Diceros bicornis minor: one gene and its partners. The protein of the gene in region 2 binds, or shares a complex with, the protein of the main gene of each other region. Links are inferred from orthologs where the notes say so. Each region holds a gene or a part of one and is shown on either strand. Other genes may lie near its edges.

Evidence for each region.
Region 1: TAF1C (region 2) and UBTF share a complex: the UniProt entries of both Homo sapiens proteins name them as parts of the pol I pre-initiation complex. The link is inferred for Diceros bicornis minor from reciprocal best matches to the Homo sapiens genes TAF1C and UBTF.
Region 3: TAF1C (region 2) and POLR2F share a complex: the UniProt entries of both Homo sapiens proteins name them as parts of the pol I pre-initiation complex. The link is inferred for Diceros bicornis minor from reciprocal best matches to the Homo sapiens genes TAF1C and POLR2F.
Region 4: TAF1C (region 2) and POLR1H share a complex: the UniProt entries of both Homo sapiens proteins name them as parts of the pol I pre-initiation complex. The link is inferred for Diceros bicornis minor from reciprocal best matches to the Homo sapiens genes TAF1C and POLR1H.

Annotation. Positions count from the first base shown.
Region 1 is NC_080757.1:42,828,051-42,835,609, forward strand, and holds the start of UBTF (nucleolar transcription factor 1), read right to left. Parts: upstream 3,013-7,559; 5' UTR 2,653-3,012; intron 2,224-2,652; exon of another isoform or gene 2,206-2,223; intron 1,082-2,205; exon of another isoform or gene 887-1,081; intron 1-886. UniProt on the Homo sapiens protein: Recognizes the ribosomal RNA gene promoter and activates transcription mediated by RNA polymerase I (Pol I) through cooperative interactions with the transcription factor SL1/TIF-IB complex.
Region 2 is NC_080771.1:33,271,694-33,278,709, reverse strand, and holds the start of TAF1C (TATA box-binding protein-associated factor RNA polymerase I subunit C), read left to right. Parts: upstream 1-4,016; 5' UTR 4,017-4,164; intron 4,165-6,524; 5' UTR 6,525-6,525; coding exon 6,526-6,663; intron 6,664-7,016. UniProt on the Homo sapiens protein: Component of the transcription factor SL1/TIF-IB complex, which is involved in the assembly of the PIC (pre-initiation complex) during RNA polymerase I-dependent transcription.
Region 3 is NC_080764.1:11,849,046-11,856,923, reverse strand, and holds the start of POLR2F (DNA-directed RNA polymerases I, II, and III subunit RPABC2), read left to right. Parts: upstream 1-4,877; 5' UTR 4,878-4,965; coding exon 4,966-4,985; intron 4,986-6,347; coding exon 6,348-6,417; intron 6,418-7,878. Other genes in the region: C25H22orf23 (UPF0193 protein EVG1), read right to left, coding at 3,295-3,357, 4,188-4,326. UniProt on the Homo sapiens protein: DNA-dependent RNA polymerase catalyzes the transcription of DNA into RNA using the four ribonucleoside triphosphates as substrates.
Region 4 is NC_080753.1:35,906,489-35,914,390, forward strand, and holds the start of POLR1H (DNA-directed RNA polymerase I subunit RPA12), read right to left. Parts: upstream 3,011-7,902; 5' UTR 2,981-3,010; coding exon 2,737-2,980; intron 2,492-2,736; coding exon 2,391-2,491; intron 2,183-2,390; coding exon 2,073-2,182; intron 1-2,072. UniProt on the Homo sapiens protein: Core component of RNA polymerase I (Pol I), a DNA-dependent RNA polymerase which synthesizes ribosomal RNA precursors using the four ribonucleoside triphosphates as substrates. Can mediate Pol I proofreading of the nascent RNA transcript.

The DNA of each region.
Region 1 (7,559 bases), on a different chromosome or scaffold from region 2:
GCTAGCGCCCGCCCTCCACCCTCCTTCCCCCACCCTAGCCAAAAAAAAAAAAAAAAAAAAAAAAACTCCTCCTCCTCCTCCTCCTCTGTGAGCCCGCCCCGGGGAGGCCCCAGGCTGGAAGAAGGGGGAGGAGGAAGGGCGGGTAAAGGGCGCGCGCGGCCGCGGAAGCGGGCACGCGCCGCAGTCTCCTCCTCCCGCCTCCCCCCCGGCCGATTCCCCCCGCCTCCGCAACCCGGCGGGGACCCGGACGCAGCGCAGCCGCCGCCGGCCCCGGAGCGCAGCGGCCGCGCCGCCCCCGGGGACCGGATCCGGACTCCCGCCGCCCCCCCTCTCGGGCTCCCGACGCCGTCCCCGCCCGCCCGGGCGGGCAAGCAGCCGGAGAGAAGCGGCCTAGCCTGGCCCCCGCCCCCGAGCCACCCACCCCGGCCAGAAGCGTCGCCACCGCCCAGCCACCCCGACGCGCACGGAGGAGCCCGGCGCAGAAGCGCGACCACGGCGGGAACCGCCGCCTCCTCCCCTGAGCTTGCGGCCCAGCCCTGCCGGCGCCCCCGCCCCGGCCTCCGGGGAGCAGAGCCAAGGAGAGGGTGGGAGGACGACGGCCGGGAGGCGGGGGAGCAGCGCTCACCGGCCCCGCCGCCCCCTCCGGCGGCCGGCGAGAACTGCGTCTGGCGGCTCGGAGAAGCGCGGGCTCCTCCGCCTGCGGCCGGGGTTCGGCTCGGGCCTCGCTTCCTGCCCTCCCCTCCCCCGGCTCTCGGCGTCCTCTCCAGTGCCCTGGTTCTCTCTCGCCCAGTCCTCTGCCCGGAGGTCACCCCGGGTCCCCTCCTGGCGGCTACCGCACCCGCGGTTCGCTCCCCGCCACCCGACCCCGGCGCGCGTTCTCAGCCACCTCGGTTACCCGGCGCAGCGCGGCCTCCGGCCTTCCCGCTCCGGCGGCTCCCTCCCCGGCTCTGAGCGGCGGCGCCCTCCCCCGCTCGGCCGGGCACAGCCGCAGCTCCCTCCCGCGGCGGCAGCGGCTCCTCCTCCGGGCGCGGCGGCGGCGCTGGGGCGGCGGCTGCTGCTGCTGTGGCGGCGGCGGCTGTGGCTGCTGCCTGCTGCTCCTCGCGGCGAAAAGCACAAAGCACAGCGCCCTCCGCCTGCAGGCAGCCCGCCCGCCGCCCGCCCGCCGGCCCCGGCCTCAGCTCGCACACCCCCCGCCGCCGCCGCAGCCTCCGCCGCCGGAGCGGGGAGGAGGAGGGAGAAGGGAGGAGGAGGAGCGGGAGGGGGGGCGGGAGAAGCGGGGCAGCGAGCGCGTCCTTCCCCGTAGAGCGCACACCGACCCCCGGGGAGCGAGCGCCAGCCCGCCCGCCTCGCCGGCTCCGCTCCCTCCCACAGCCTGCCCGGGCGGGCTCCGCGGGGGGCAGCTGGGAGGAGGGGCGGGAGCTGGGGGGACCCGGGCGGCCGAGGCGGAGGGAAGGAAGGAGGGGAGGGGGGTGGTGGTGGTGGTGGTGGTGGTGGTGGTGGCGGTGGCGGCGGCGGCGGCTGCTGCTGCTGCTGCCGGGAAGGGGGGGCCGGGGCAGGGAGACACGCAGCCGCCCGGATGGCGGCGGGGCTCGGAGCCGAGGCGGGCGGGCGGGCGCCGAGAGCGACCTCGCCAGACCCGCGGGGGAACTAGCAGGCTCGGCCGGCGCGGGAGGGAGAGCGCGAGGCGCGGCCGCAGAGAGGGTGCCCGAAGGGGCCCCCCGGTGGCCGGGGAGACTCAGGGGGTGTCTGTAGCCCTGCTCCGGAGCTCTCCCCCAAGTCCTCCCAGTTCAGAATCGGGTTTCCATGCCAGATCTCTCCCGCCTCCCGGAGCGGGCGGTCCGCGCCCACACTCTTCCCCGGAGCGTGGCCACCGGCTTGGGGCTCAGGCACGCCGATCGCGGCGCCAAGCTTCGGCGCCTACCTCGCGGTCTCCTCGCTGCCAAACAGCACACACACGAAACTTAAAAAAAAAAACACCACCTCTACAAAATGCCTTCCCTGCAAATTAAAAAAAAAGTCCCCTTCGCTTTTTACACCCCGGAAACGGCAAGGGGGCGACGGGCTCCGGCAGAGGAGCTCTCTGGGAGCCGGTTCAATCCAGCCCGGCATGGCTCCCCAGGCCTGCCAGGGCGCATGGAGATCGGCGCTGCCGCTACTCGCAGCAACCCCTCTCCCCCGAAATCCGCGGCGCCGGGGCTCACTTACCGAGCGTGTGAATGGGAGCGCGGGCCAGGGGCACCTAGGGGTGCTGCGGGCCGAAGAGCCGAGCCGCAGCTCCGCCGCAGCCGACGCCGGGGCAGCGAGTCGCCAGACAAAGCCCGAGATGGCGAAGCGGAGCGACGGCTAATGGCGAGCCCCACGCGCCGCGCTCCGCCCGCCCCGCTCCGCCCGCCCGCCTCGGCGCAGCGCAGCGCCGCTCCGAGCGCTCGCCCGTCAGAGCCGCCTCGGCGCCGCCGCCTCCCGGGCCACCCCGGCCTCGCCTGGCCCCTCCGCCTCCTCCGGGCGGCTCAGCCTCACCCCTTCCCTCCCACCGCGCTGGGGGCTGCACGAAAATAAAAAAAGAAAAATGCTTTTCTTTCTTTTTTTTTTTTTTTTTTGGCAGGGCGGGCGTGTTGAGACTTTTGGGTCGTTTTGCCCCCAGCTCGCACTCACCTGCGGAGCCGCCGGGAGGGCTGGGGGTGGGGGCGCGCGGGGCTGGAGCCGGCGAGCGCGGGTTGAAAGCTAGCCAAGCTCTGCAGCGCCCGACCCGGGCGTATACGCCGCCGCCAGTCCCCGCAGAGAAATCTTCCTCCTACCCCCGCCTCCATCGCTCTGCGTTTCTCTTCCAATCAGCCGGTCGCTTGGCGGCTCCTCCATTCTCCGGCCAAGCCCGCTGCCTAAAGCGAGCTCCACTCCTCCATCTGCTCGCCTGGCTCTTTGCTCCCCTGCCGGGGCCGGCGAGGCGACGTGGGGCCGGAGAGGGATTTGCGAGGGAACCTGCCTGCTTCCCGCTCCCATTGCTCCCTCCCCGCTGCCTCCTGCCTCCTGCTTCTCTCCTGCGTCTTCCCAACTCTCCCTTGTCGCCACTGGTGTGTGTCTGAGTGTGTGCGCGGTTTTTTTTTTTTTTATTGCTCTTTGCTTTTGCAACCCTGAAGCCAAAGCGGGGGGGGGGGACTTTGGGGAGTGTTACAAAAAAAAGCAAGAAAGAAGCTCTTAGATTTGCAACACATTGAAAAACCGGGGGAGCACCCCGCCTCGTCCGATCTCGGGGCCCCGCGAGGGCCTTCCGGGTTTTAGAGCAAGCCTCTCCTTCTCAGCCGCTCACCTCCGCCGGGTTTGGAATCCGAGGGGTCCGAGCAAAAAGTTCTCCCCCTGGCCGGTAGCAAGGGGTGTCAGGGTGGGAGTTGGGGGAATTTCTCAAGAAGCACCAGCCATCCCTCCCACCCCGGCTTCGTTAGCTGGGCCGGCCGGGGTGGGGGCGGAGAGCCAAATCCTGGTGGGTTTGCGGGAAGGGGCTTCCGGGGCGAAGTCGAAGCCGGAGACCGCGCTTCGCTCATCTCCCGCTCGGTCTCTGCCTCCTGTCCCCTGCCAGTTCCCCCTTTAATTCTTTTTTTTTTTTTCCCCTCTCCTTTAATCTAATTTCTTCCAACTCCACCTTTGTTGTTACCGGCGTCACGCCCGGACCAGCCAATCCCTGCCACGCAATCAGCGTGTCAAAAAGGCTCCACCAGCCCTGGGAAAGCAGGCCGCGGGCGCTGCCCCCCACCCCCGGCGGCGGCGGAGAGCCGCGCGCGGAGCCTGGCACTCGGGCCTCGCCGCCGCAGCCGCAGCGGGGCAGCTTCGGCGTAGGCCTCCGGCACTCCACGACCCTGCGAGCCGGCGATCGAAAGGCCTGGGCGGGGACCTCCATCTACCCTCCCACTACCGCCGGCTGTGGTTGTCTGTTTCTGCCTCCCCTCCATAGAGGAAGGGTTATCAGGACGCAGCGAGCCAGAAGCCAGTCTGAAGAACGCCTGCTTCCAACAGGCGAGCCTAGTTCGGGCCATCGCTCCTCGGGCAGCGCCATTGCTCCTGGCTCCCAGGCGGCCAGTCTCCCACACTAACACTGCTCCCGCCCACAACTCGGCCAGCTGGGTCACCAGCCCCTTTGGACTCTCCCCTGGCACACAACCTTCATCCTCACACAACGGCCTCGCTGCTGCTGTAATTCCTCTTGTCTCCTGGGAGAAATGAGATTCCTTTCCCAGGATTTCCACAGCCTGCATCTGCCACGTTTCACAAATAGGGAAGAAAAGCCTGTCAGGATCTGGTGTGTCCGGATTTTTCTGTGGGCAGGGCATGTAGGAGAAGCTGATTTACCTTGACGCTAATGAAGCTTCAGGGCCCTTCATTTTCAGGACCTGTCCGAGGCCCTGTACTTCATTTTGATTCATCACTTGACATTATTTTTGTTAAAGAGTGTCATGTCCAGTCCGCGACCTCATGTCCCGTCCCCGACCGTCCGTGCCCCCACCCCCCGCACGGTTGTACAAGTTTCGGCCCCACAAACCCAGCCCTGCCCTTGGAACATACACAAGGCATTTTGTGTAGGATCAAGCTATCTTGCTCTGTACTTAGAGCAGAGCAGGGAGCGATTTTCTTTCTTTCTTTTTTTTTTTTTTGAGGAAGATTGGCCCCTGAGCTAACATCTGCCAATCCTCCTCTTTCTTTTTTGCTGAGGAAGGCTGGCCCTGGGCTAATATCTGCCCATCTTCCTCCACTTTATATGGGACGCCACCACAGCATGGCTTGCCAAGCGGAGCTTCGGTGGGCACCCAGGATCCTAACCGGTGAATGCCGGGCCGCCGCAGTGGAGCACGCCCACTTAACCGCTTGTGCCTCCGGGCCGGCCCCCGGGGCGACTTTCTTGTATTGACTAGGAAACAGCAGAGGGTTTGGAGTCAGAAATCCCAGCTTCCCAGCCTATCAGCTTCCCCGCCTTCTTAATAGTGTGTGAGTGAGATCAAGTTTCTTAACCTCACCTAATCCTAGTTTCCTTGTCTATAAAATTAGAACAGCAATCCTATGTTCTCTGCTTTCCTCAGGAGTCTGAAGGTCAAGTGAGATGATGTATGTAAAATGTAAAATACTCCGCAATGTCACTTGCCACAATTACAGTGGGAGAAACTTAGACCCCAAGAAAGTTCCAAATCTTCCACACACAGATCTGGAGTCCGGGTGTCCTGGCTCCTGGCCCTGAGCTTCTTGGCTGGGCCAAGACGCCTTTCGGTAAAATGCTTTGGAATAAAAAGGGATGAACATGAATCATAAGAAAGATTGTTATTGATTTTTTTTCATTCTTCGGGCAGCAAAAATCATGGCTGGCACTCTTCCCGCTTGGAAACCTATTGACTTGTTTTACATGTATTGTGTTTCTGGTGAGGTCAGGAGTCTAGGACTCCGGCTGTGGGCCAGAGCATGAGGGAATCGGCCCTTGGTCCTTTTTCTTTGCCCCCCTCCCAATTCATCCGCCTTTCCCTTCCAGTTTTCTGCCCTGTGCCTTGAAGCAGAACCTCAGCATTCCACAACCCCAGCCCAGGCTGGTGACAGGGTATAATCCTAGCTACAAACTCTCCACTTGGCTCCGGCCCTTCCCTGGGCTGCCAGTACTCCAGCACCAACTCCTATAAAACCCCTAGTGTGCCTGGAATGTATTAACCAAAGTGTAGTACTTGAATTCCTGGTGTTCATGGAGTAATTTTAGATGGTATACAGATCAACATATTATTTTCAAAGTTATGTATTTTAATGTGTATTGGAAATGTTCTTTTAAAATTTTTACTTAAGATAGTGACATAAAATATGTAATAATATACACGCGGAACCAGCCCTGATGGCTTAGTAGTTAAAGTTTGATGGCTCCACTGCTGCCACCCGGATTCAGTTCCCGTGCGGAACCACACCACTCGTCTGTCAGTAGCCATGCTGTGGCAGCAGCTCACGTAGAAGAATCAGAGGAGCTTACAACTATACACAACTATGTACTGGGGCTTTGAGGGAGGGAAAAAAAGGAGGAAGATTGGCAACAGATGTTAGCTTAGGGCAAATCTTCCCCTGCAAAAAAAAAAAAAAGTACACCAAAAAAAAAAAAATAAATGTATACCTGAAATTTACACAATATTATAAGCCAATGTGACTTTAATAAAATAATTTTAAAAAGATAAGAGCCTAATAAAAATGGTGGCACAGTTTTATGTATGTTAGATGGTTACCTACACAAATCCTACAATAAATATGCACTATATCTAGGAAAATAAAAAAAGATAGTGACATAAAGACTTCTTCCTCTTTTTTTTTTTTGGATCTACTGTCCCTTATTTATTTTTTCTTTTTAACTGAGGTATAATTTACGGATAATGAAGTGCACATATCTTAAGTGTACGGCTTAATGAATGTTTATAAATGTATACATATTATACATGTTACATATATATACCATGTAACCACCACCCAGATGGAGATATTGAATATTTCTAGCATCTAGCTCACTCAAAGTCAATATTCCCCTCCAAATGTCACCACTATTCTGAGTTCTATTGCCATAGATAAATTTAGCCTGTTTTTGGAGTTCATGTACATGGAATTACACAGTATGTACTCTTTTACATCTGCCCTCTTTTACTCAACATTATGCCTGAGATTAATTTATAATGTTGCATGTAGTAGTGGTTCATTTCTTTTCATTGCTATGTAGTATTCCATTGTACAAATATACCACAATTTATCCTCTCTACTTCTCCTTCTCCTTCTTTTTTTTTTTTGTGAGGAAGATTAGCCCTGAGCTAACATCCGTTGCCAATCCTCCTCTTTTTGCTGAGGAAGATTGGCCCTGGGCTAACAACCATGCCCATCTTCCTCTAGTTTATAGGGGACGCTGCCACAGCATGGCTTGATGAGTGGTGCGTGTGTCCACGCCTGGATCAAACCTGTGAACCCCTGGCCACAGAAGCGGAGTGTGCAAACTTAATCGCTTTGCTACCGGGCCGGCCCCTATCCTTTCTACTTCTAATGGGCATTTGGGTTGTTTCCAGTTTTTGACTGTTATGAATAAAGCTGCTTCAAACATTCTTGTGCATATCTTTTGGTGGATATATGCATTCATTCCTCCTGGGTATATTTCCAGGAGTGGAATTCCTGTATCATAGAATATAAATATATTGGACATTAATAGATTTTTCCAAATGGTGTTGTCAGTGTTTTTGGATTTTGGCCATTCTAATAGGTGTGTAATGTTATCTCATTGTTTTAATTTTCAATTTCTTAATGGCATATCATGTTGAATATCTTTCCATATGTTTAGTTGCCATCTGTATATCTTTTGGTGAGATGTCTGTTCAGGTCTTTTGCCTATTTTTCAATCAGGTTGTTGGTTTTCTTATTGTTGAGTTTTAAGTGTTCTTTGTATATTCTCGATAGCGGTCGGTTATCAGATGTGTCTTTTGCAAATATTTTCTCTCAGTCTGTGGCTTGTCTTCTCATTCTCTTGACACTGTATTACACGGAGCAGAAGTTTTTTATTTTAATAAAATCCAGTTTAGGGG
Region 2 (7,016 bases):
CTACATTTGAAAACTGTTCACTGTAGCCTTCCTGAAGCCAACCGGAAGTGCTCTCGAGCCAAGTTAGCCATTTGGCACTCTGCCCCCCTTTTTTCCTGTCAGGAGGGATTTTGAGTAACTACCACAAGACAGCTATTCTTTAAGATGAGAGACTAGGGATGAAGGAGAAATAACAAAAATAAGATGAAGTTACGGATGAAGACAGTTTACATATGGCCTGCTATGATGCAACACAATTGCTGGAAGGGGGCAGAAAATGTAACTGCGTCTTGTAGGAGCCAGTTCCCCGGGAAAACATGACCGATACTCAGTTCACAGTCTGTAAGACTCGTCACCTTTGTTGCTGCTGCTGCTGCTGATTGCTACCTTTGGGTCTGACAATGCTGACCAGGATTGTGGCAGTGTGGATACTGGAGTGTTTGAGGACGGGTTGGTGGAACTGGGGACATTTGATTTGGGAAGAGCAGGTGTGGGGGACAGAGTAGATTCAATCTCCCGAATGTTTCAGAATTGACATCAGAAAGAACAAGCCTGTTCTTTTCATGTGTAGCCCAGCCAGAGAGCAAAATTAGGCCTAGTAGATGGAACACAGTTGGTGTTCAGAAATGGAATGATGGCTGCACACATCCATAAAGAGACTTTAACAGAGTCCACAAACCCAGAAACTTCACCAACAGGAACTTGCATGAACAAGAGGTGATATATTCGTACAGGAGACTATTAGTAATAAAAAGAAACAAAATACTGTTACATGCACAAAATGAGTGAATCTCATAGGCATATTGAGTGAAAGAAGCCAGACTAAAAAGACTATTTTCTGCCTGATTCTATTTATATAAAGTCTTGAACCGGCAAAATTAATCTCTGGTGATGAGTCAGAATCATGGTTGCTTTCTGAAGGGGGTATTGACTGGGAAGCGGCACCAGGAAATTTTCTGGAGTGATGAAAATGTTCTCTGCCTTGATCTAGGTGGTGGTTATGTGGGTTTATATGTATGTAAAAACTTGATAAGGTGTACACTTAAGACTTCTGCATTTTACTGCATGTTAAGTATACATCAGTAACGAAAGGAAACCAAACAGCTTGTTTAGAGAAAGGAAGGAAGAAATGAAATTGGCCTCCCAGCCCAGAAGCTGGATGGGTGTCTCCTGGGGTGATGGGGAATAGTGGTGTGGTGGGAAAAATAATGGTCCCCCAAAGATATCCATGTCCTGATCCCCACAGCCTATGAATATGTTACATCATGTGGCAAGGGGGTATTATGGTTGCAGATGGAGTTAAGTTTTCTAATCAGCTGAGTTTAAGACAGGGAGATTATCCTGGATCACCTGGGTGGGCCCAGTGTAATCACAAGTGTCCTTAAATGGGCTAGAGGGAGACTGAAGATCAGAATCCGAGAGATGACAGCATGAGAAAGACTCAGCTGGCCATTGCTGGCTTTGAAGATGGAAGGGGGCCACAAGCTGAGGAAGGCAGGCAGCTTTTAGAAGCTGGAAAAGGCAAAGAAATGGATTTTCCCCTAGTGCCTCCAGAACGGAACACAGCCCTAGTGACGCCTTGATTTTAGCCCAGTGAGACCCATTTAAGGCTTCTGACCTCCAGAACTGTATGATATTGTGTTCTTTTAAGCCACTAAGTTTGTGGTAATTTGTTATAGCAGCAATAGGAAACTAATATAAATGGTCTTCAATTTCTTTTGCATACATACTTCTAAAATAATTTTGAAAAATTATATATCACTAATTTTTTAGTCACAAGCTTAAATAGTTACAAAAGATGTAATTTCTGATTTATTATATAGTATAATCATACTTTCAATATATTTTCACCAAAACCATGGAGAGGCGGACTTAGCTTATTCCATTTATGAAAAATGCTCTCCAGGGGCTGGCCCTGTGGCCTAGCGGTTACGTGCGCGCACTCCGCTGCTGGAGTCCCGGGTTCGGATCCCGGGCTCGCACTGATGCACCACTTGTCAGGCCATGCTGTGGCGGCATCCCATATAACGTGGAGGAGGATGGGCATGGATGTTAGCCCAGGGCCAGTCTTCCTCAGCAAAAAAAAAAAAAAAGAAGAAGAAGAGGATTGGCATGGATGTTACTCAGGGCTGATCTTTCTTACAAAAAAAAAAAACAAGAAAAGAAAAACGCTCTCCATGTGCCCTAATTGGCAAAGCCTACCATCGTAGTCAAACCTATCAGCTAAACCAGAATTTTCCTATCAGAAACAGTCTGACTTCATTTTTTCAATTTAAATAAATGTGTTGATATTTTCTCAGAGGAACCATGTCATTTTGTTCCCTCTTCCATTGATTCGATATTTATCGAGTATCTACTTTTCTAGTTGTTTGGGATACATTAGTGACCTACACAGAGAGAAGAATTCCTGCCTTCATAGAGTGACTTCTGAATTCTATTTCTGAGGTAGATAGCTGAAAAGGCATGGAGTCTAACCAAGAGGCTGAAGTCTCAATGAGATCAAGTGTCACAACCAGCAGTATTTTCCTCTTTTTTTCTTTTCTGTTTTAAAAAGACTACTGAAATATTACATCCATACCAAAAAGCATACAGATCATTCAATGAATTTTCACACACTGAACACACTCGTGTAACCAGCACTCAGATGAAGAAACATAATATTGTCAGCCCCCAAAAGCCCCGCCCCCCGCACCCTTCTATCATTACTCCTTACTGAGCCTGTTTTTCTTGGTCTTATAGGGACTCTCTCCTATAGGAACTCTGCTTTTTGGAATCGCCCCTTTGTTCAGCATCCTTCTCAGGCAATACTCCATAGTGGGGAAAAAAGTGATTGTGAAAAAGGAGATGCGAAAGGAGAACCATCTGATTCCGAGCACCTCCCAGATAAAAACCATATACATAGAAGCTGAGAACTTGGAAATTGATTCTTTAAAGTAATGGTTCTCAAAGTGTGGTCTCTGGACCCCCAGCATCAGCATCACCTGGGGACTCATTAGAAATGCAGATTCTTGGATCACATCCCAGATCTACTGAATCAGCAGCTCTGGAGGTGGGGCCCAGTGAACTGTTTTAACAAGCCCTCTAGGGGATTCTGATGCACGCTGAAGTCTAGAACTGCTGGGTTAGGATAACGGTATGATTTATGATTGCACAGTTGTTCTTAAAGTGTGACCCCTCCAGACAAGCAGAATCAGCATCACCTGGGAACTTAGGAAGGCAAATTATCAGGCCCCACCCCAGACTCACTGAATGGGAAACTCTGTGTTTTCTTTTTTTTGAGGAAGATCAGCCCTGAGTTAACATCCATGCCAAGCCTCCTCTTTTTGCTGAGGAAGACCAGCTCTGAGCTAACATCTATTGCCAATCCTCCTCCTTTTTTTTCCCCCAAAGCCCCAGCAGATAGTTGTATGTGATAGTTGCACATCCTTCTAGTTGCTGTATGTGGGATGTGGCCTCAGCGTGGCCGGACAAATGGTGCGTAGGTGCGCACCCAGGATCCGAATCCAGGCCACCAGTAGCAGAGTGCACGCACGCAACCGCTAAGCCACAGGGCGGGCTCCAGAAACTCTGTGTTTTTACACGCCCTCCAGGTGATGCTGATGCCCGCTGGAATTTCAGAACCAATGCCTAAAGCTATACTCGCCTGGCCACTGGGAAAACTTCATGCGCTCCCAGGGGTACCTGTACATCTATTTGTAAAGCCCGCTTCATAGGCTATAATGACAATCAATAGGATTCCTACTGACTCATACAGTGCCTGGCTCATCATACGTGCTCAGTAAGTGTTTGTTGAGTGAATTAATTTAATACTCACAGCAATCCTGTGAAATAGGAACTTAGTTAAGCAGAGGTGGGATTCGAATCCCGGTCAACCTATCCTTCACTTTTGGGACTTGACGAGGCTTGATTTCTACTGCCCGCGACGCAGCCTCCATTCCCATTCCCCCTCCGCCCGGGAGGTGGCGCTCTAGGGCGACCATGGGGCCAGGCTGGGAGGCGGGACTTCCTGTCTTCGAGGGAGCACTTCCGGCCCGGCCGGGAAGACTGTTCATCGCTGCTGTGGGGGCCGCCTTCTGAGGGCGCCGGGGCTAGGGGGCCGCTCTCGGGCTTCTTCGCGGCACGGGGGTCCGGCGAGCGGCGCGCGGAGGTCCATTTCCCAGACGAGCACGGCGAGGCCCGGGCCACGTAAGTGCGCGCGCCGTCGGACGGGAGGGAGTGGAGGGTCCCCCTGCTCAGGTCCATGGGCCCCGAGCTGCGTGGCTTTGGGACAAGTCGCCCAACATCTGCAAAGCGGCTTATTAGCAGCCCCCAGCTCATGGAGTGATGAGGAGCCTACAGATGTGAAGCGTGGTAGCCGCTGCCTGGCACACAAAGCTTGATGCGAGGCCTCTGCTGTTGCCGGGTTGAAATTCTGGGGCCTGGGGTTGGAGTGGGAGGAGGTGGATGGGGAGGACGCGGCCCAGTAGTTGTGTGAGGGGAGGGAACACCCGGATCCCCTCTCCCAACCCTTGCGACAGGCTCGCTTTTTGTCATGCCCAGCCTGGCATTAGTGCAGACCCGACTGACTTCTGCAGCCTTGGAGGTGTAAAGGGGCCTGGCGAGCCGAGGGCGAAGGCGGGAAACGGAGGCTGCCTTGTCTAAGGGCCTTTCTGAGGTCGTGGGCTCGCCCAGCGCCCTCAGCCTGCCTGGGTTTGTTTGAGGCTGTTTGGTTCCTTTCTTCTCTCATTCATTCATTCCCGGATTTGCTTTTTCAGTTTATATGTACTGATTGTTACCATGTAGCGAATACCAAGGTCCTGGGGGTATATAAAGTCTCTTTCCCGTGGGGACTGTTAGAGCGGTTTTGAATCAAACAGTTGCATCTTTAAATATGTAATGACACATTGCAGTGCGTGCTCTGGAGGAAGCATGCAGGCTGTGGTGGGAGGATAGGGTTGGGGGAACGGGGAGAGGCTTCCCTGACTTGAAATCTGAAGGATGAGTAGGATTTTGAGGTGGTAGGAAGGGCGCTCGCATTCCTTGTAGGTGGAGAGAGAGTGTGCAAAGGCCCTGTGGTGAAAAGAAGTATGGTGAGGAGGAATCCAAAGGAGGTCAGTGTGATTGGAGCCCAGGCACAACAGACGAGCTGGAGACGTACGTGTGTGTGCGCGCGCACGCGCGCGTGTGCGCGTGTGTGCATCTCTGACTTATCAGGGGTGCGGCCACCTTGGGAGGCTGGGGTGCCCCTTAACTGCAGTCGGTACAGCCAGTCCTGTGGAAGCCGGCGTTTTCACAAGGATTCATTGATCACCACCTTGGTTCCTGGCACTGTCCTCTTCTGTCGTGGAGAAGGGAATAGCAGCAGCAGCCAGACACCAGGAGCTCAGGAATGAAGCAGATACAGTGGCTGCCCGCGGAGAGCTCTCAGTGTAGTGGAGAAGATAAGACTGTGCATGTGAACCACAATTAGAATGAGGCTGACATGCCGTGAGAAACACGTATTCATCATTTAACAAGTATTGACTGTGTGATGGGGGCACTTTGCGTGATGGTGAGGGTACACGGATGTGTGGAGGTTACAGAATAAGCTGATAGGATGCCGCAGGAGCGCCAAAGGAAAGCATTTCTGCTTACTAAGGCTCTAAAGCTCGGGTTTGCTTTTGGATGCACGGGAGAGCGGTGGTTCAGACCTCGGACTTGGAATCAGAATCCAGCCGTTGGCCTTGGGCAGGCTGCTCTCTCCTGAGCCTCAGTCTCCTGGACTCCAAAGGAGAATAAAGCATGTGGTACCATGGCTGCAGATGCTGGTGCTCAGTAAGTGAGCACCACTGTCATTTTTGTGGTTAATAAAAAAGAGGGATGCTATGGCTGCTTATGCTTCTAGAGCACTTTGTATTTACCAAAGCCCTTTGGGCTAAATTTAGTTTTATTCAATACAGTCAGTGCATTTTTGGAAGGTATGTACTTGACAGTGGGAAGACAGACAAATAAGACTCAGTCCCTGGCTTTGGGGGAACTAGAGTTAGTCTTGGGAGTGTAGCCTGGGACGTAGGGCCTGTAGTCTTCAAATGTGTAATTATAATATGTAGAGCTTATTGGAAGCTGACCCCTCGCCACCTGTCTAACTTCATCCCCTACCCCTCTGCTCCTGTTCATTCTGTGGCCTCCTGGTGCTTTCTCAAGCACTTCCTGCCCCAGGACTTTTACACTTGTTGTTCATTCTGCCAGGAACCCTATTTCCATGGTCTTCATGGTTCTGTCCCTCATTAGGTTCAGGCTGTGCCAAACCTGCCCCTCTTGATGAGGCCTTCCCTGGCTACCATTGCTAAAACCACACCCTCAGCACATTGCCATTCCCTCCCTCCCGGTTGGTTGATTGGTTTTAATATAGCACTTATTACTATCTGGCATTAGGTTGTATATTCATTTGTTCTTTATTATCTGCTTCCCCAAAGAGAAAGTATACCCCTCTTACGACACTTTTCACTCTCCCAGGAACCCTCAAAGCCACTGTCAGATGCAGGTCTCTGAGAAGACCAGTGTGACGCATGGCTCTTGTTTTCTAGGATGGACTTCCCCGGCTCCCTCCGCCCCACGTTGTTTAGGACCGGCCTCCTTGGTCTGAGCAATGTCCCTGACATGTCCTTCATGTGCAGCTGGAGAGACGCACTGACCCTGCCAGAGTCCCTGCCCCAGAACTCTGAGGTGAGGATGGTGGGGAGAGCCCTGGCGGCTCCAGGGTGGGCACCTTCACTTGGTCCCCTTTTCTAGCAGGAGCACAGAGTGGGGTGGCTTTAGCATAAGTCTGCTAAGACTCAGCCAGAATCCCCTTCTTTGGGGTACGTGGGGCGCCCTACCATCCGCAGAGGGTTTAGTGAGCGGGAGCTGTTGGCTTGCTCTTTCCTACCTCCCCCTCCCCCGGCCTTTCATTCCTCTGTTTGTTCAGTGAATACTCATTGCACAGCCCTGTGCTGTGTCAGGCACCTTCCTAGGCCGGGGGCACCCAGCGTGAATAAGTCAGATGTGACCCCTGCCCCCGTGGAACTGAGAGTTAAGTT
Region 3 (7,878 bases), on a different chromosome or scaffold from region 2:
GGACGCCACCACAGCATGGCTTACCAAGCAGTACTTCGGTGCGCGCCCGGGATCCGAACCAGCGAACCCCGGGCCGCCGCAGCGGAGCGCGCGCACTCAACCGCTTGCGCCACCGGGCCGGCCCCTATATAACTTATTTTTTATAGCTGCATACTAGTTCTTAGAATGGATGCATTATTTATTCGACTAGTCTCCTAGTTTCGGAGATTCAGGCTGTTTCCATTTTTGTTACTACTTTAAACAACGCTGCAATAAACATTCTCGTACATCAAGCCTTCCTACTGGTGCTTTTGTTTCTGTAGATGGATTCTTGAAACCTGCCTGGTCCACGGGCAGGGAGGGGTGGTTTGATGGTGATAGACACCAATCCCTCCTCCTGTCCCTCCCCCTTGCCTTGACCCAGATCTGGGGCTCCTCCCCCAGGCCAGCCAAGTGTGTCCCCTCCTACCTGGCTAACTGGCCTCTCCTCTCAGTTGCCCTAAAGCCCAGCTCAGAGCAGGCCCCACCCCCTGTTTTGATCCACCCCTGTCTACCTTGTTGACCTTTCCAGCTGCCTTCTGTCATCCACCTAGCAAATACGTGCCAGGCCCAGGACACTGGGGGTAAAGTGGTGAGTAAGATAAAGTCCTGCCCTCGTGGCGCTTACATTTGGGGTGTGGAAGATGCTAAAATAAGTAAAACATATCGTATGTTAGATGGTGACAGTACAGGGATGGAGCAGTGTGTCTGAGCAGGATTTACAGTTTTAAATAGGGTAGCCAGGGAGGACCTCATGAAGAGGGTAACGTTTAAGAAAAGACCCAAAAGTGGTAAGAGCCAGCTGTGCAGATATTTTGGGGAAGAGCTTTCCGGGCAGAGGGAAAGGCTAGAGCAAAGGCCCTGAGGTGGGAATGTGCCTGGAGTGTCTGAGGAACAGCCAGAAGGCTAGGGGGCCAGGAAGATGGAGCAGAGTGGAAGTAGGGGTCAGAGGTCACGGGGGGCAAGAGGAGTACAGGGCCTTGCAGGCCTCCAGAAAGACTGGCTCTTACTTTGTAAGGTGGGAAGCCACCACAGGGTTTGAGCGGAGGAGTGGCATGACCCCTTTGGCTGCTGCTGAAAATACAGTGTTGAGGGCAGGGGCAGAGGCGTCAGAGGCGGGATATGGTCTGAAGGTCAAGCACACAGGACTGCTGATGATGTGGGTCTGGGAGAAAGAGAACGGAGTCAAGGAAGACTCTGGGGTGTCTGTCCTGAGGAACTAGAAGGATGGAGCTGCCATTATTTCCCACTCCCATCCCCTTCTCACCCCTCTACCTGGAGCCACACCACAGCTTTCTCTCTCTGTTGTGAGGAGATGCCATGCCTCCTAGAATGTCCCTCCTGCTCCGTCCACTCCCTATTTCTGGCTGTCCAGTGCCAAATGCTACCTCTTCCTTTGGCCCATTCTCAGCAAATAATTATGGCCCGAGGAATTCTGGAAGCTTAGGTGAAGGAGAGGAATTTGTGGCTTGCAACAGAATTTGAACCAGCCCTCAAAACAACAAGTAGGATTTGGTTAAGAGGAGAGAGGAAGAGAGGGGATTCTAGGAGAAGAAAGCAGACTCAACATAGTGCTCGGAGGCAATTTTTTTTTTTTGTGAGGAAGATCGGCCCTGAGCTAACATCTGCCAATCCTCCTCTTTTTTTGCTGAGGAAGACTGGCCCTGGGCTAACATCCATGCCCATCTTCCTCTACTTTATATGGGACGCTGCCACAGCATGGCTTGCCAAGTGGTGCATCGGTGCACGCCCGGGATCTGAACCGGCGAACCCCGGGCCGCCGCAGCGGAGTGCGCGCACCCAACCACTTGTGCCACCAGCCCGGCCCCTGGAGGCAATTTTTAAAAAAGAAAACTAAGGAGAATAAAACTGCCAGGTGAACCCGTAACTTGTGTTGGCCTAACCACTAATGTAATTAGTCCTTCAATAAATGTCGAGCACCTACGAGCTGGGGCTACCGTGGTAAACAAGGCCGACACAGTCCTCGGTCTCCTGCTATTTACTTTTAGTGGACTTTCTAGCACATTCTCTTTGTAGTCATGCTACAGGGGACACCAGATTATTAGTACATTACTGAGTGTGGAGATTGAGTTGTGTGATTCGGCTGTGTTGTGGCTCTGGCAGCCTGAGTTGTCCTTGTCCACAAGGAGAAAGGAGATCTGACTTCTGAACTGGCCTGATGGAGCCTCCCTCCCCCAGCCAGTGCTGGGCAGGCACTGCCAATATTTGCCTCTCTGACTTTCCCTTCCCTATGCTTCTTTGGTTGATCAGATGCTCTCCTGATAAGCACATTCCTTCCTGAGAGAAGGCAATAGCTTTCAGTAGATTCAAGTAAAACTTAGCAGGCTTGGACCTTCTGACATTCTCTCTGTTAAAGACAACTTTACAGGGCCAGCCCAGTGGCTTAGCGGTTAAGTGCGCGCGCTCCGCTTTGACTGCGCAGGGTTCGATTCCGGCCGCGCACCTACGCACCGCTTGTCAAGCCATGCTGTGGCGGCCACCCATATAAAGTGGAGGAAGATGGTCAGGGATGTTAGCCCAGGGCCAGTCTTCCTCGGCAAAAAGAGGAGGATTGGCAACAGAGGTTAGCTCAGGGCTGATCTTTCTCAAAAAAAAAAAAAAAAAATTATAAAAAAAAAGAGACAACTTTACAGATCTCTGTTCTGATCCACTAAATGTTGATTCAGTTAAATCTCAGAAAGCAAGGTTGTTTTCAAGATCGTAGAGGGCAGCTTGCTATTGTGCCCATGGAATTCCACTTTTTGTTTTCCTTAAAAATAAATAATACAACATGTGGTCAGAGGTGAGCTGTGGAAACGTTTTGCATATTTTTCCTAAGTTGGAATTCTGCCAATTACCTTGTTTCTGCTAGCTAAGCTATGAATGAATAAAATGATGAATAAGACACACACAGTCCTCTCCCCTGGAGGACTCACATGGTGTGTGTGTAGGAGGGAGGGACAGATTGCAGACTTGACAGTGTTGAGACTATGTGGCTGGGCAGGAAGTCTCTATTGGGCTGTGATCTCTTGAGAAGGTCGGCTAGAGCTGGACTGCAGGAGGCTTGCTGTGTCAGGACCCATGTCTGGGGAAGAGGCAAAGGTCCCACAAAGTCAATTCCCCAGGAGCAAGGGTCAGAAATACTATTCAATTTTTTTTTTTGGTCTTTTTAAATGACCTCTTTTTAAAGAGGTCCCCTGCCCCTTATGTAGAGGAGTATTAAAAATGTGGCCCAGAACCCCTCTGCCCAGGAAGCCTCTGTGGACTGCCTCTTACTTTTCATGGTGTCCATGATGTGGCGCTGTTGGAAGTTAGTCAGTCTGGATTCCTTCATCATCACTGCAAAATAAAGCATTCTATGAGGCCTCCTGGGCTGTAGGCAGATGCCCTCGTCTCCCTCTATTTAAAGTTAAAACTGTATCACCTCCTACCCCCATTCTGCACCTGGTTACTCCCACTCTCCCTTTCCTGCTTAATTTTTTTTCTGTAGCACTTATCACCATCTAAGTTATATATATTTTACGTATCATGTATTACCTTCCTAGTAGAATATTAGCTCCAGGAGAGCAAGAATTTTTGCTGTTTTTTTAAAAAAATTTTTTACTGCTGTATCCTCAGCACCTAGAACAATGCCTAAAGCACACAATGGCCTTTTAAAAATTTTTTCTTGAGTGAATGAATGAATGAACAAGTATTCATTAAGCATATGCCAGCGGCTGGAGCTACAATTGGGAGCCAAAACAGGCACAATCCCTGCCCTGATGGATTTCACGAGCTAGAGGGTTAGAAGGATATTAATCTAATGGACACACTAAATATCTGATCACAGGCTGCACTAAGCCCAATGAAGGAAAAGGTATTTGGTAGTATGAGGGCACATAACAGTGGGTTCCACTGTGGTGGTGGTGGATAGGGAGGAAATAAGGCTTCCCTGGGGAACCTGAAAGTGTGATCTAAGGGATGCATAGGAGTTAACTCTAAAATTCTTAGTTCTTTGACTTTTGGCCACTTGCAAGTTGTAGGATCTCTGAACCTTTCTGAACCCCAGGCTTCTTATCTGTAAAACTAAAATAGCAATCGCTAAGCCATACATAGGTCATGTAGGGGAGAAGTGAGTTACACAGGGTAACTGTTACCACTGCTCTTCTTGTGTCCTTCAGCGCACTGACCTCTGAGCAGCTCACAGGTCCTCCGGGAGTAAGTGGCCGGCTTGGGGCAGCGCCAGAAGCCTGTTCCTTTGGTCACTGCCTCCACCCTCTCCTGGGAAGCCATGGGAGGACCTTGAGGAGGGAAAACGCAATGACACATCCATGTCTCCCAGGTCCAATCTTTGCTCCCGCATCCCCCAACACCATCCCAAGTCTGGGAGCGGGGTTCGGGCCGCAAGAGACTCCTGACGCCGCCCGTCAATACTGTGACAGTGCCCGATTCTCCTACCCCGAACAGATACACAAGCAGATGCACACACACGGGAACCGAGACCTTAGCTGAACCCGGCGCCTGTGGCAGGGAAGTCCCCTTAGGAGGAAGGGGGCATTAGGATAGCGGTGGTTACGACAGAGCCCATTGGGTGATACGCCAAAACTGAAACCTCACCCTAAAGTAAGACCCCGGCGGGGTGCCCCTGTCCCCACAGAGAGCGGCGCGGGCTCCAGAGACCGTAACCACTGCTCCACCGCGGCACCCTCACCGGGGCCCCGCAAAAATACTTGGAGATCTCTGGCACCAGAGCCGGCAGCTAGACGCTCTGGCTACCATGGTAACGAGCACGCGTCTCTGGGCGCATGCGCACATATATCGCTCCGGCTTGCCTCCCGGAAGTGATTGCCTCTGGGTCACGGCGCAGGCGCAGAGTAACGCGTGGCGCCGCTGGAGGAGAAGGCGCGTTGTGGACAGGTCGCTGCGTGGGTCAGAGGTGCGGACCCGCGTCGCCGCGGCGCGGGCGTCATGTCAGACAACGAGGACAAGTGAGTGCGGGAGCGAAGTGGCCTTTGCGGTGTCTCGGAAGGGGCGGCTGAGGCGGGGGCCTGGGTCAGAGGAGGCCGAGGAGCCAGGTCGAGGGGCAGTGTCTGAGGGGCTAGGGGTGCTGAGGGCCCGCGGAGCTGGAGAAGGGAAGGGCGGTGAACCGGGAGCATAGACCGGGCCAGAGGCTGGGCACAGAAAGCCCCAGGCTCGACGACCAGAAAGGATCAGTGAGAAGGGTGTCTTTCAGCAGACTTCCACTGACCCCGCCTCTGTGTCTTGTAATGGGAGTATTGAGGTGAATTAGGCGTAGCCCCTGCTCTCCAGGTGCTTCTTTTCTAGAAGAGGGGACAGGCCCGTAAACAGATAATACGGGGTCGCGTGAGATTACGTAGTAGATGTAGTATAGAGGTAATCCAGAGGAGGGTCAGGCCAGGCCTGGAGATGGTAGAGGTCTGGGAGGTGTGAAGTATCCACGTGGGAGAAGGTGGCGGCTTGTACTAGGAGTCGTGAGAAGTGGTTTTGAATTCTGGGTTTATTTTGAAGCTAGAGCCAAAAAGATTTCCTGACATGGGGGGTTGGAGGAGATAAAAATAGGGCAATCATCAGCCTAAGTATATTAATCAGAAGGAAGAAACAGGTGAGCTCATCAGGGGAGAGTCAGTAGAGAAGAGGAGATGACTGACCGTCAGAGCATTCCAACATGGAGTGCTGGTGGGGGAAAGAGGAGAAACCAGCAACGGAGGCTGAGAAGGAGCAGCCAGGGAGGTTGGGGAACACCAAGAGAGTGAGGTGTCCTTGCAGTCACATGAGGAGAGTGTACTGAGCGAGAGGGAGTGACCTAGTGTGCCAACTGACAGATCACGCCAAATGAGAACAAGAATAGGCCATTGGGTGTAGCCACGTGGAAATCATTAACGAGCTTGAAAGGAGTGGTTTTGACGGAGCTGGGGAGGTGCAAGTCTTCTTGGAGTGAGATTATGACAGAATGGGAAGAAAAGAATTGGAAACAGTGGAGGTGGATGACTCTTTCATGAATTTTGCTCTCAAGGAGAGCGTGGAAATAGGGCTCCGTGGGGAGGGAATAGAGAAATGAGTTTTGTTTATTAAGATGGGGAGATAACTACATGTTTATATGCTGATGGGAATGATCCAGTAGAGAGAGAAACAGTGATGATGAGTGAGTCCTAGCAAAATTTAGGGGCTGATGAGGAAAGGTTGAAGGAGTAAATGGAACAGAAGTTTGATTCACTCATTAAGTAGATGTTTATTGAGTGCCTCTAACATGTGGGGTGAGACACAGATCCCTGTCCTCTTGGATTCTAGTAAGTGATGCTTCAACTAACTGGCCTCTTCTTCTCGTACAGTTTTGATGGTGACGACTTTGATGATGTGGAGGAGGATGAAGGGCTAGATGACTTGGAGAAGGCCGAGGAGGTCAGTATTTAGCTGTGGGCTCCTGTGTCTGCAGCCCAAGCTGCCAGATAGCCCAGCGGTGATAATTGCCTGAATGCATCTCCCTCCTGTTCATGGTCAGGGCCCCTGCCACAAGCCCCCCCCGGTTAGAGCAGAGTTCCAGTCCTGGGTAGTGGAGAAGCCCTGCAGGTGGTCCTGAAGGCTTCTGTCCACTTGGACCACAGCCCATGGCTTCTGGGGCAATTAGTTCTCTGAGGGGTGAGCAAGTCAGTGAACACTTGTTGAATGTTTATTAGGTGCCGGGTGCTCTGCAGGGTGGGGCTACATAAGGAGCAAGGAGGAGAGTGACCTGGGATAAAGCTGGACAGGTTAGGGCCCAGATCAGGCAGGCTATTGTAGCCTAAGGGTAGCGGGAAGCCACTGACCAGTTTTGAGTCGGGGAGTGGCATGATCCAGTTTACACTTTAGAAAGAGCATTCTGGCCTCAGAATGAGGAGTGAATTGGGGAGGAGCAAGAGTAAAAGAGAGAGACCAGTTAGGGGACTTGCATAGATCTCCAGGTGAGAGACCTGTAGCTTGGACTTGGATGCTGGTAGTGTCAGTGATGAGAAAACATGAAAGAGAGATTTTGGTGGATTGGGTGTGGGGCTGAGAAAGTGGGAGATGGCAAAGATGATTCCAAGCCTTCTGGCTTGATCATTTAGGTGGATGGGTTACCAGCTTCATGAATAAAATAGGGCTTTCTGTCCTGTGTGACTGATGGAGGAAGAGGTGCTTTGTGTCTCCTGGAGAGAGAGTGATCCCTCGATTTTTTTAGTCTAGGAAGCTGAAGCTGTCTTTTTGGATTTCCTCTGTCTGCATGGCACTCTCGGGTCCCTATTCACTGAGTCAGAAACCTCCTTCTTCATCCCTCTGGTCCCTTCCATGCCTGTCCTGTTGATTCTGCCTCCTACATGTGGTTCAGCCCTGTTCCGTTTCTCCATTCCTAGTGCCGCAGTCCGGTTTAGATCTTCATTGCTCTACACCCACGTGACTGCAGAAATTGTGTTACTGGTTTTCCTGCCTTCAGTCTGCTGCGTTTGCCTTCCTGCTGCCAGAGTCATCTTTCTTACCTGCCTACCTGATCGATTACTATTGGTCTCCCTAAATGGTCTCTCTGCCTCCACCCTTGCCCCCTACAGGATATTCTCAACAGAGTATTGAGGATGATCCTTTTAAATCTTAAGTCAAACTGTGTCTCTCCTTTGCTTAGAACCCTCATCCAGTGGCTCCCCGTCTCATTCAGAGTAAATGCCAAAAAGACGTACAAGATCCTCCATGATCTGGCTGCCTGCTTCCTCTGTGACCTTACCCTTTCTAGCTTTCCCTGTCATGTCAGGCAGACCCCTGCTCAGGACCTTTGATCATGCTGTTCCCTCTTCCAGGCACACTTTTCCCTTAGATATGCACAGGACCTGCCCCTCACCTCCTTCAGGTCTTTGT
Region 4 (7,902 bases), on a different chromosome or scaffold from region 2:
TTTGAACAAAGGAAGAGGTTCCAGCAATTTAAGATGAGACACACAAATAATCAAGGAAGGACTTTCACTTATGACACTGTGGAGGACTAGCTCCCTTAAACAATCCTCCAAATTTAAGACCACTAAAAATGCTGGAATTCGGGGCCAGCCCGGTAGCCTAGCTAAGTTCCTACACTCCGCTTTGGCAGCCCGGAGTTTGCAGGTTCGGATTCCTGGGCACAGACCTTTGCACCACTCATCAAGCCATGCTGTGGCGGCATCCCATATACAAAATAGAGGAAGATGGGCACAGATGTTAGCTTAGGGGTAATCTTCCTCAGGCAAAAGAGGAAGATTGGCAATGGATGTTAGCTCAGGGCTGATCTTCCTCATCAAAAAAAAATCGAATGAATTATGAAATATGCAAAGATTTCTTAGGACACAAAAAGTACTAGCCATAAAAGAAAAAAAAAAGGATAAACTGGACCTCACAAAACTTAAGAACTTCTCATTAATAAAAAAAAAAAATAGTTAAAAAAATACAAAGGACAGATTGGGAAAAAAGTCCTCTCAAAAGATATATCTAACTATAAATATTTTTAATCCATTGAAGAGATGGCAAGAAAGTAAAGGCAACCTTCACACTGGGTAAAATGATGTAAAACCAGGAATCTAGACAGGTAAGTTAAACTCAAGTCCTTGCTACCATAGTGCCCTTGCTGTTTTGACAGCCACAGGGAGGAACTAGAAACCTAGAATGGAGATACTCTGCATAAATTTGGGCCACCCAAAGGGCTACTCCTTTGTGTAAAAGTGAACAAGGAAAAAAAAAATCCACCTCTGCAGAAGGGGAATCTGACTACCTCACAAGGTAGAGGGAGAAAAAATCTTCTCTGAGAATTTCTAACCATAAGCTGGCCCTTATATGGATTTGCAGCCCGAATTTATACTACCTATGTGCTCCAAAAAACCTGAAGCCAAGAATTTATTTAAAGTAATTCCGGCTCGGTAGTGCCTCAAGGCACCTGAACAGGAAACATAGATGCTGAGGATACAGCATTCACCCCAGGCCTCAAAGAATTCCCATACTTCAGACTCTAAAAAATCCAAGCTTATAGTCAAAAATCACAAAACAAAGAAAAAAAGCACCATGAGAGAGTCAGCAAAAATAACAGACAGCAGTATCAGACTCACAAAAATGATGGGTATCAGAATTATCAGACACAGTATAAATCATCATGTTTAATATATTTAAAAGTAACATTTTAAGACTAAAAGGAGCAATTTAAAATATGATTAAGGAATTGGGAATTATAATGACTGAGGAAATTTGAAAAAATAATCAAGTAGAACTCAAAAGAAAACTTTTTCTAAAGTAACAATAATTGAAATAAACTGAAGACAGAGTTAGTGACCTGGAAGAGAGACCTGAAGAATTTACCCAGAGGCAGCATAAAGAGAAAAAGAGATGAAAAATATGAAAGACAGGGTGAGAGAAATGGAGGGTGAAAGAGAAGGTTTATTAAACAACTAATTAATTAGAGCTCCAGAAAAAGCAATATTCAATGAGATAATGGCTGATAATTTTCCAAGGTTGATGAAAAAAAAGTCAATCCTGAGTTTTAGAAAGTCCAACAAATCCCAAACAGGATAAATAAAAGAAAGCCACATCTTGATATATTGTAGTGAAACTGCAGAACACCAAAGACCAAGAGGAGTTCTCAAAACCATTAAGAGAGCCCATGTTTTTTAAATTAGGCACGATTAATTCTCACCAAAATAAAACTACCTTGAGTGCAGCAGAAGATTCCAGCATAACATCCTGACCACTAAGCAATACTTGCCTTCTGTATTTTTCCATTTCCTTTAAAATATCTTAAAAGGTTTAGTTCACTGGCTATAAAAAGGATAAGAAAAGTGTAATTTTTAAAAATAAAAAACGACCACAAATCTCCCTACTATCTGAACTGTACAGAAATGAGGGATGGGACCAAAGGAAACAATTGCTTCTTTGGTACAAAAAGTAAATCACTGGATTTGTTTAGTTAGCAAACAGACTGAGACAGGGCAGAGGGAAGGGAAAGGATACGCACTTGCAGTTGGTACAGGTGTAGAAGACAGTCTGCCCTTCATCAGCTGAGCGCATCTGTCTGGTGTGGTATGCCATTCCCTCGTGACCACATCGAGAGCAGCGCCTGTCAACCTGGGAAGCAACTAGTGGATTAGGGAGGCCTAGTCGTATCCCCCCTACTTCTCATAGGAATCAGGCTATCACACTCCTCAGACACTGCTGCTCTAAAGCTCCCTCTTCCCTCTTAGAATTGGCTACAAAACTCCACAGGTCTCAGCAATCATCCTCCATTTCTTTCCCAACGCTCCTTGGGGGGCCATGCTTGATGTAACTAACTTACCACGGGTCCCTGGAACTCAGGTCCTTCCTCCATCGACATAGGCATGGCTGTCCCCAGTTTGTGGAACACAAATGAGGTCTTCACAACTTTCCCTTCGAAGTCTGCACAGGCAGTAAGAATCGGTTGCGGAAACAAGCGGAGGGAGCTGACACCCGCAACTCCCTCTTGATTAGGCCAGGAGGTCCTACATCCTTCCCTTCAGGTTTAGTCCCAAGACCAAAAGTGTGAGCGCCTGATCTCCTGCTTTAGGGTTCCCCTCTCCGATCCCACCGATCCTGAGGTCCCCAAGCCTCCGACCCTTCCATGCCGGGCCCTCCGCCGGGGCAGCTGCGTACAAGCCCCTCACCTCGCACGTTGATGGAGAAGCCACAGCGAGTACAAGTGACCGTATCCTGAGCCCCGGGCAGAGGCAGGACCGAGCCGCAATCCGGACAGAAATCCAGGTCCGACTGAAAGCTGGAGGAGGTGCCGGCGAGGTCCATGACGGACAGGCTGTCGAGGGCTGAGAAGGGAATAAGAAGTTGATTAACAAGCGAGTAGCTCCCTCCCCACTCAGGGGTCATTTCTATTCTGTCCCTGGAGCTAAGCATACATAACCGGAGCCCTCCTCCCACGCATGCCTCGTATGCCCAAGGGTCCCGTATTCCCAGCCTGCGTCGAGTACCCCCTGACTCAGTGGCTTTCCTCGGGCAGGCGAGAGGAGCTAGCCAACTCCGCGGGCTAGAGCGCCGGCCCTGCGCGGGCAATGGGGAAGCGAGCGCGCGGCGGGCTAGAGCGTCCACGCGTTGCGGCTCACGATTGGCTGTGACGTCATAATTAATCGCAAACGTGACCCTGACAGTCCTCGAGAGGCAGAGGAACGTCTCTGAAGGTGCAGGCCGGGCCTCTCTTCAGCCTGGTTCTGTATGGTCGGATAAGAAAACGGGTAATCGATGCTGGGCCTCCGGCTACTTTTCCCCTCAAGACCCAATCCTGGGATATTTATTTTTCTTGGTCTTGCACCTCACAGGGACCTAGGCGCGGAGGGCCGTCCCCCTGAAAATCGTACTAACCTTACCGAATACTAATTTCTTTTGACTAGAGAACTGCAGCTCCTGCGGTTCCTGAGCCGATAGTTCCCCTTTTGCGGATGCGCAGTGGTTAAAAACAAAGCTAAACTTTCTGAGTTACACTTGTAGCGCTCTGCAGAGCCCAGCCTGGCTCACGTGCCTTGGAGGTTGTTTCCTGCTCTTGGAAGGAGTGAGTCGGCTTAACGGGCAAAAAGTGGTGAAGGAGGAGGAGGCATGCTTACTCCCTGGGAAGAAGGGAAACAGGGATGAAGTGGGACACTGGGGGCTCAGGACTTTGGAGGTGGAAGAACAGAAGAGGTTGGGACTCCCTCCTCCTTAGACGGATGCCAGATGAGGGAGGCTAGTCAAGGGGAGCAGCCTTGGGTAGGATTTCACTAAAACTTAGGTCGAGGTTGGCTTTCATTTGCGCACCCACCTCCACCTCGTTCCCCGCCTCCCGTCCAACCAACTCTTAAATCATCATCGTCATCCGTTAGGTGGACAGTTGACATTTCCTTAATCTTTTATAAAACATGCGAACAAGTATCTTTAGAAAATCTTGCTATTTTAATTCATGTGTACCCTACAATCTAAAGTAAAAACTTGTTATCCTCCAGGGACAGCTTTTAGATGAGTTTCCTAGTTGCTTCCTAACATTTGCACCCCTACCCAGTTAGATAGCTGTACTAAGTTCCTTACATATAAAAGTTCTGGAGCCATACTATTTTCTCCTCTGAAAGAGACAAGCTGTGGTCTCTCCTTGAGAGAGACTCCGGTCTGCCTGTCTCAACAATAATGGAAAGACACACAATAGTGAAGGGGTTAAAACTGAGCAAGTTACAGGAGAGTGACAAGCCCCATAATTTCACTTAGCTGGTTTTTATTTTGTCTGTCTTACCAAAGGAGGTCTGTTGCTGAGCCCATGATTCCTTTATCAGGGAATATATAATATATTCCATTAGGGTTTTATACCCATAAGTCTGTTCTGTAGAGTCTGGCATATATTAGACTTAATAAATATTTGTTGAAAGAAAGGAGGACATTTGTTAACTGCTGGAAACAGAGCTGTGTCCCAGACAGCTAGGCCCAAAATACAAAAACAGCTGATAATATACCACTATACCTTCTTACATTCGGTCTGTGCACAATCTTAGTCAACCTTTCTTTGTTCTTATATTTCAGTTGAGGTACTAAAATATCTTTATTTACTTAATTTGTTTTTTAATACCCTTCCAATAAAATTCAGGATTTTATTTATCCCCTTTTCCAGAACTTTTTCTCCACTGCCTTCTAGACAAGGTCACCCACATGCCCTCTTAAGGCACCTGGCAGCATCATAAAATAAAGTTTCATTAAAGTCTGAACAAAAGGTTCCCAGAAAAGGAGGGCAGGGTGCTAAAGACCCTGGAGAGTCAAGGACGACCGTTCCCTGTTGTCTGCTGGACAAGGGTCCAAGTTTCCTAGCCCTCAAGCACTCTGGCCCCGCCTCAATAGAGTACTCAGTTTGGACTTGCGAGATTAGTTTTGGGTTTCAACTCTGCCACATATTGGCTGGCTGATGTGAAGAAGCCCTTATCTTTAGGATCCACAGTAGGGAAAATAAAACCTTCCTCACACAGTTGTTCCAATGAGATAAGCAATAAAGTGCTTTATAAGCATAAAGTGCCACATAACATCATGATTTACTGTCCTATCAGTTTTCTTCCCTTACTTTCATACTGTACTATAAGTTCCTACCCAAACAAGCATGGAAACCCGGTCGTTCAGATTTAAAATGCAAAAGAAATATATGAATGAAAAGGGGCGAGTTAGTAGACAAGGAAAAGCAGCAAAAAGTGGAAAATTTAGGCTGGTGATAGAGCCAGTTTTTCCAAGTGCTTTTCTAGTAAATCAGCTTGTTTGAAATATCTGGGCAGAGGATACTGTGGTAGGCAGAATCTGGGGTGAGCTAGCATAATAGAGACCATGGCAAGTCATTACCCAGGAGGTGAAGACATGATTTATTTAAACATAAAGCCCATTTATTCATTCATTCCCTACGTGCTGAATCCTGTTAGTCAGGTACTGTGCTGATTGCCAGGGATATAAGGATGGGTAGGGCAGGGTCCTCTGCACTGTAAGAGCTTGCAATCTAGTGGCAGAGTCAGAGATAGATAATTATATTACAGGAAGAACAAAGCTGATAGAAACATTCTAAGCACTACCAAAACAATGGAGAAAGAGTGGCCAGCCCTTTGGAATAGAACTAAAGAGCCCCTTGCAAAAGCTTTGGAGAAGAGGTGGACACTTTTTGAACTGAAGGCTGGAAGATTTGGTAAGTAGTTGAGAAAGAAAGGAAATCTGGGCCCATGGAACAGCAGATGAAAAGGACCTGCTAGTGACTAGATTAGAGGACAGGATGAGGAGAGTGGCAGTGGTTGACTCCATGAAGAACTGTCAGTGTCAGAACAAGGGGGATCTTGTATGGCAGCAGGTCACTTCAGACAATGGGGAGTGATAGAAGAATAAAACTCGGGGGGGGGGGTGAAAGGAAAATCACTGAATTAATAAAACAGCATTAAGAAGCTCCCATTTGGGTCAAAATTCAGTGTTGGTAGTCATACCATTGGCATCAACCCTTTATTAAAATAGGATTGGGAACTGAGTTCTAAAAAGTTGGGTTTTTAAAAGATGAAAATGGATCAGGAAATGCCATGAGGAATATAGCCAGTGGTACAGAAAGGCATGAGAGTGCAGCTCTCATCGAGCCAAAACTGTTCAACGGAGAAGCCACCAGAAAACAGGTTGGAGCCAAAAATTGCAAAAAAAAAATCTATAGAAATATACACTGAAATATCTCTGACAATTACCAGCCCCACCGGGGGGGGGGGTGCAGCTAATTGAGAAGCCTACTCAGTCCCTTCCACACATGCCCCACCTCCTGTCATTGTGAGGTTTTCCCTTAGAGATAAATTTGACGTTCCTTTGAACTTGATTTCAATTAAATGAAATATTTTGTTAGGGGAACAAGGAAGACTGGTGGACTTAAATATTGAGGCAGCCTTTGATAGATGTGCTTAATGGCTTCTGATTTTATAAGCAAATATAAGCAGAGAGAGCTGCTAAATAATTTGTGAGAATTGGCATTTTCAAATATTTTGGTAACGTTAGCCCAAGCAGCAAACTTGGTTGTGTGCAAAAACAATGTAGTTGCAAACCGTTAGGATTTTCCATTTGAATATGTTTCTGCAATGGGAAGTTCTATCCAAAATGAAAGATACCTGACAGACTATCAAATGGATTGTTAAATTATATCTTAAGAAGATTAAGAAAACCAGAAAACTTGTTATTGGAGGAGCACACCCAGCTGATATTGTTTCTCTCAGAAGGTTTTTCCATGTGAATGTAGCAGAAATTCCCAAGAGATAAGGTACAAGGAAAAAAACATATATTTTGGGGGAAGGAGGTTCCTTCATGTGGCTTCTTATTTTCTCTGTGAAGCAGGAGGCGAAATCATCTGTTTAGAGATAGAGGAAAAACAAGTCTTGAGTAGTGGATTCCAAATGTACTAGGGATTCTGGAATTTCTTACAATAGACTTAAGTCAAGAGCCTGCCCTTTAAAAATAGCGTTGAAAAGTTTGATGAGTTGAAATACAGTAATGTCATGGTCAAAAAGTTTCTTGTTTGCAAGCCTTAGAAACTTGCTGGGGCTAATATAAAGAAAAAGGGAAAGTCAATTGAAAATGTCTTAAAATATTTTGCATAATTGGGCTTCACAGGAGATTGGAACCAAGGCAGTAGGTACTCCTTCCAACTCTTGTTTCTACATATTTCTTTACATCTCCTCATTTTCTTTTTCTGCTCACTTCACTTTTCTGTCTCTGTTCTCATAGTGGAAAATGGCTGCCTCTCTGCTTTCTCATAACTTTATGCTATCTTCTTCTTTTTCTCACCTCTATATCCACCTACTCCCTCTCAACTGGATCATTTTGTTTGACCTATAAATATGCTCAAGTCTCTCGCATCTAAATAAGCTACGATACTATTTCTTTGCACTTCTTCAAAGCCAGGTCTCTTAGAAAGTCTATACCAGCCGCCTGCATTCTGGCTTCAGTGCCCATCAATCTACCAAATCCCCTTTTACTGACTCATCAAAGAGCTCCATGTGGCTAAGTCCAATGGACAGTTAAGGGTGGAATGGAAAAAGAAGGTGCCAACAACAGGCAGAAGACCTGACAGGCGTTTGGCAGCAAAGGCAGCATGGAAGAGGGATCAACAATTCAAGGGTAGGAATGCAGTCCACAGAAAACAAGACGGCAAGGAAGATCAATCGTCCTCAGGAATTGGAGATCAAGCAGGGAACCAATGGAACACTTTTAAGGAGCTGGAGCAGAGTACCAAAGGAACAAGATAAGTGAACAGTTATAGGACTCAGGATAAAAGACCAGACTAGGAATAGAAACAAAAATCTCGGCCATAAAAC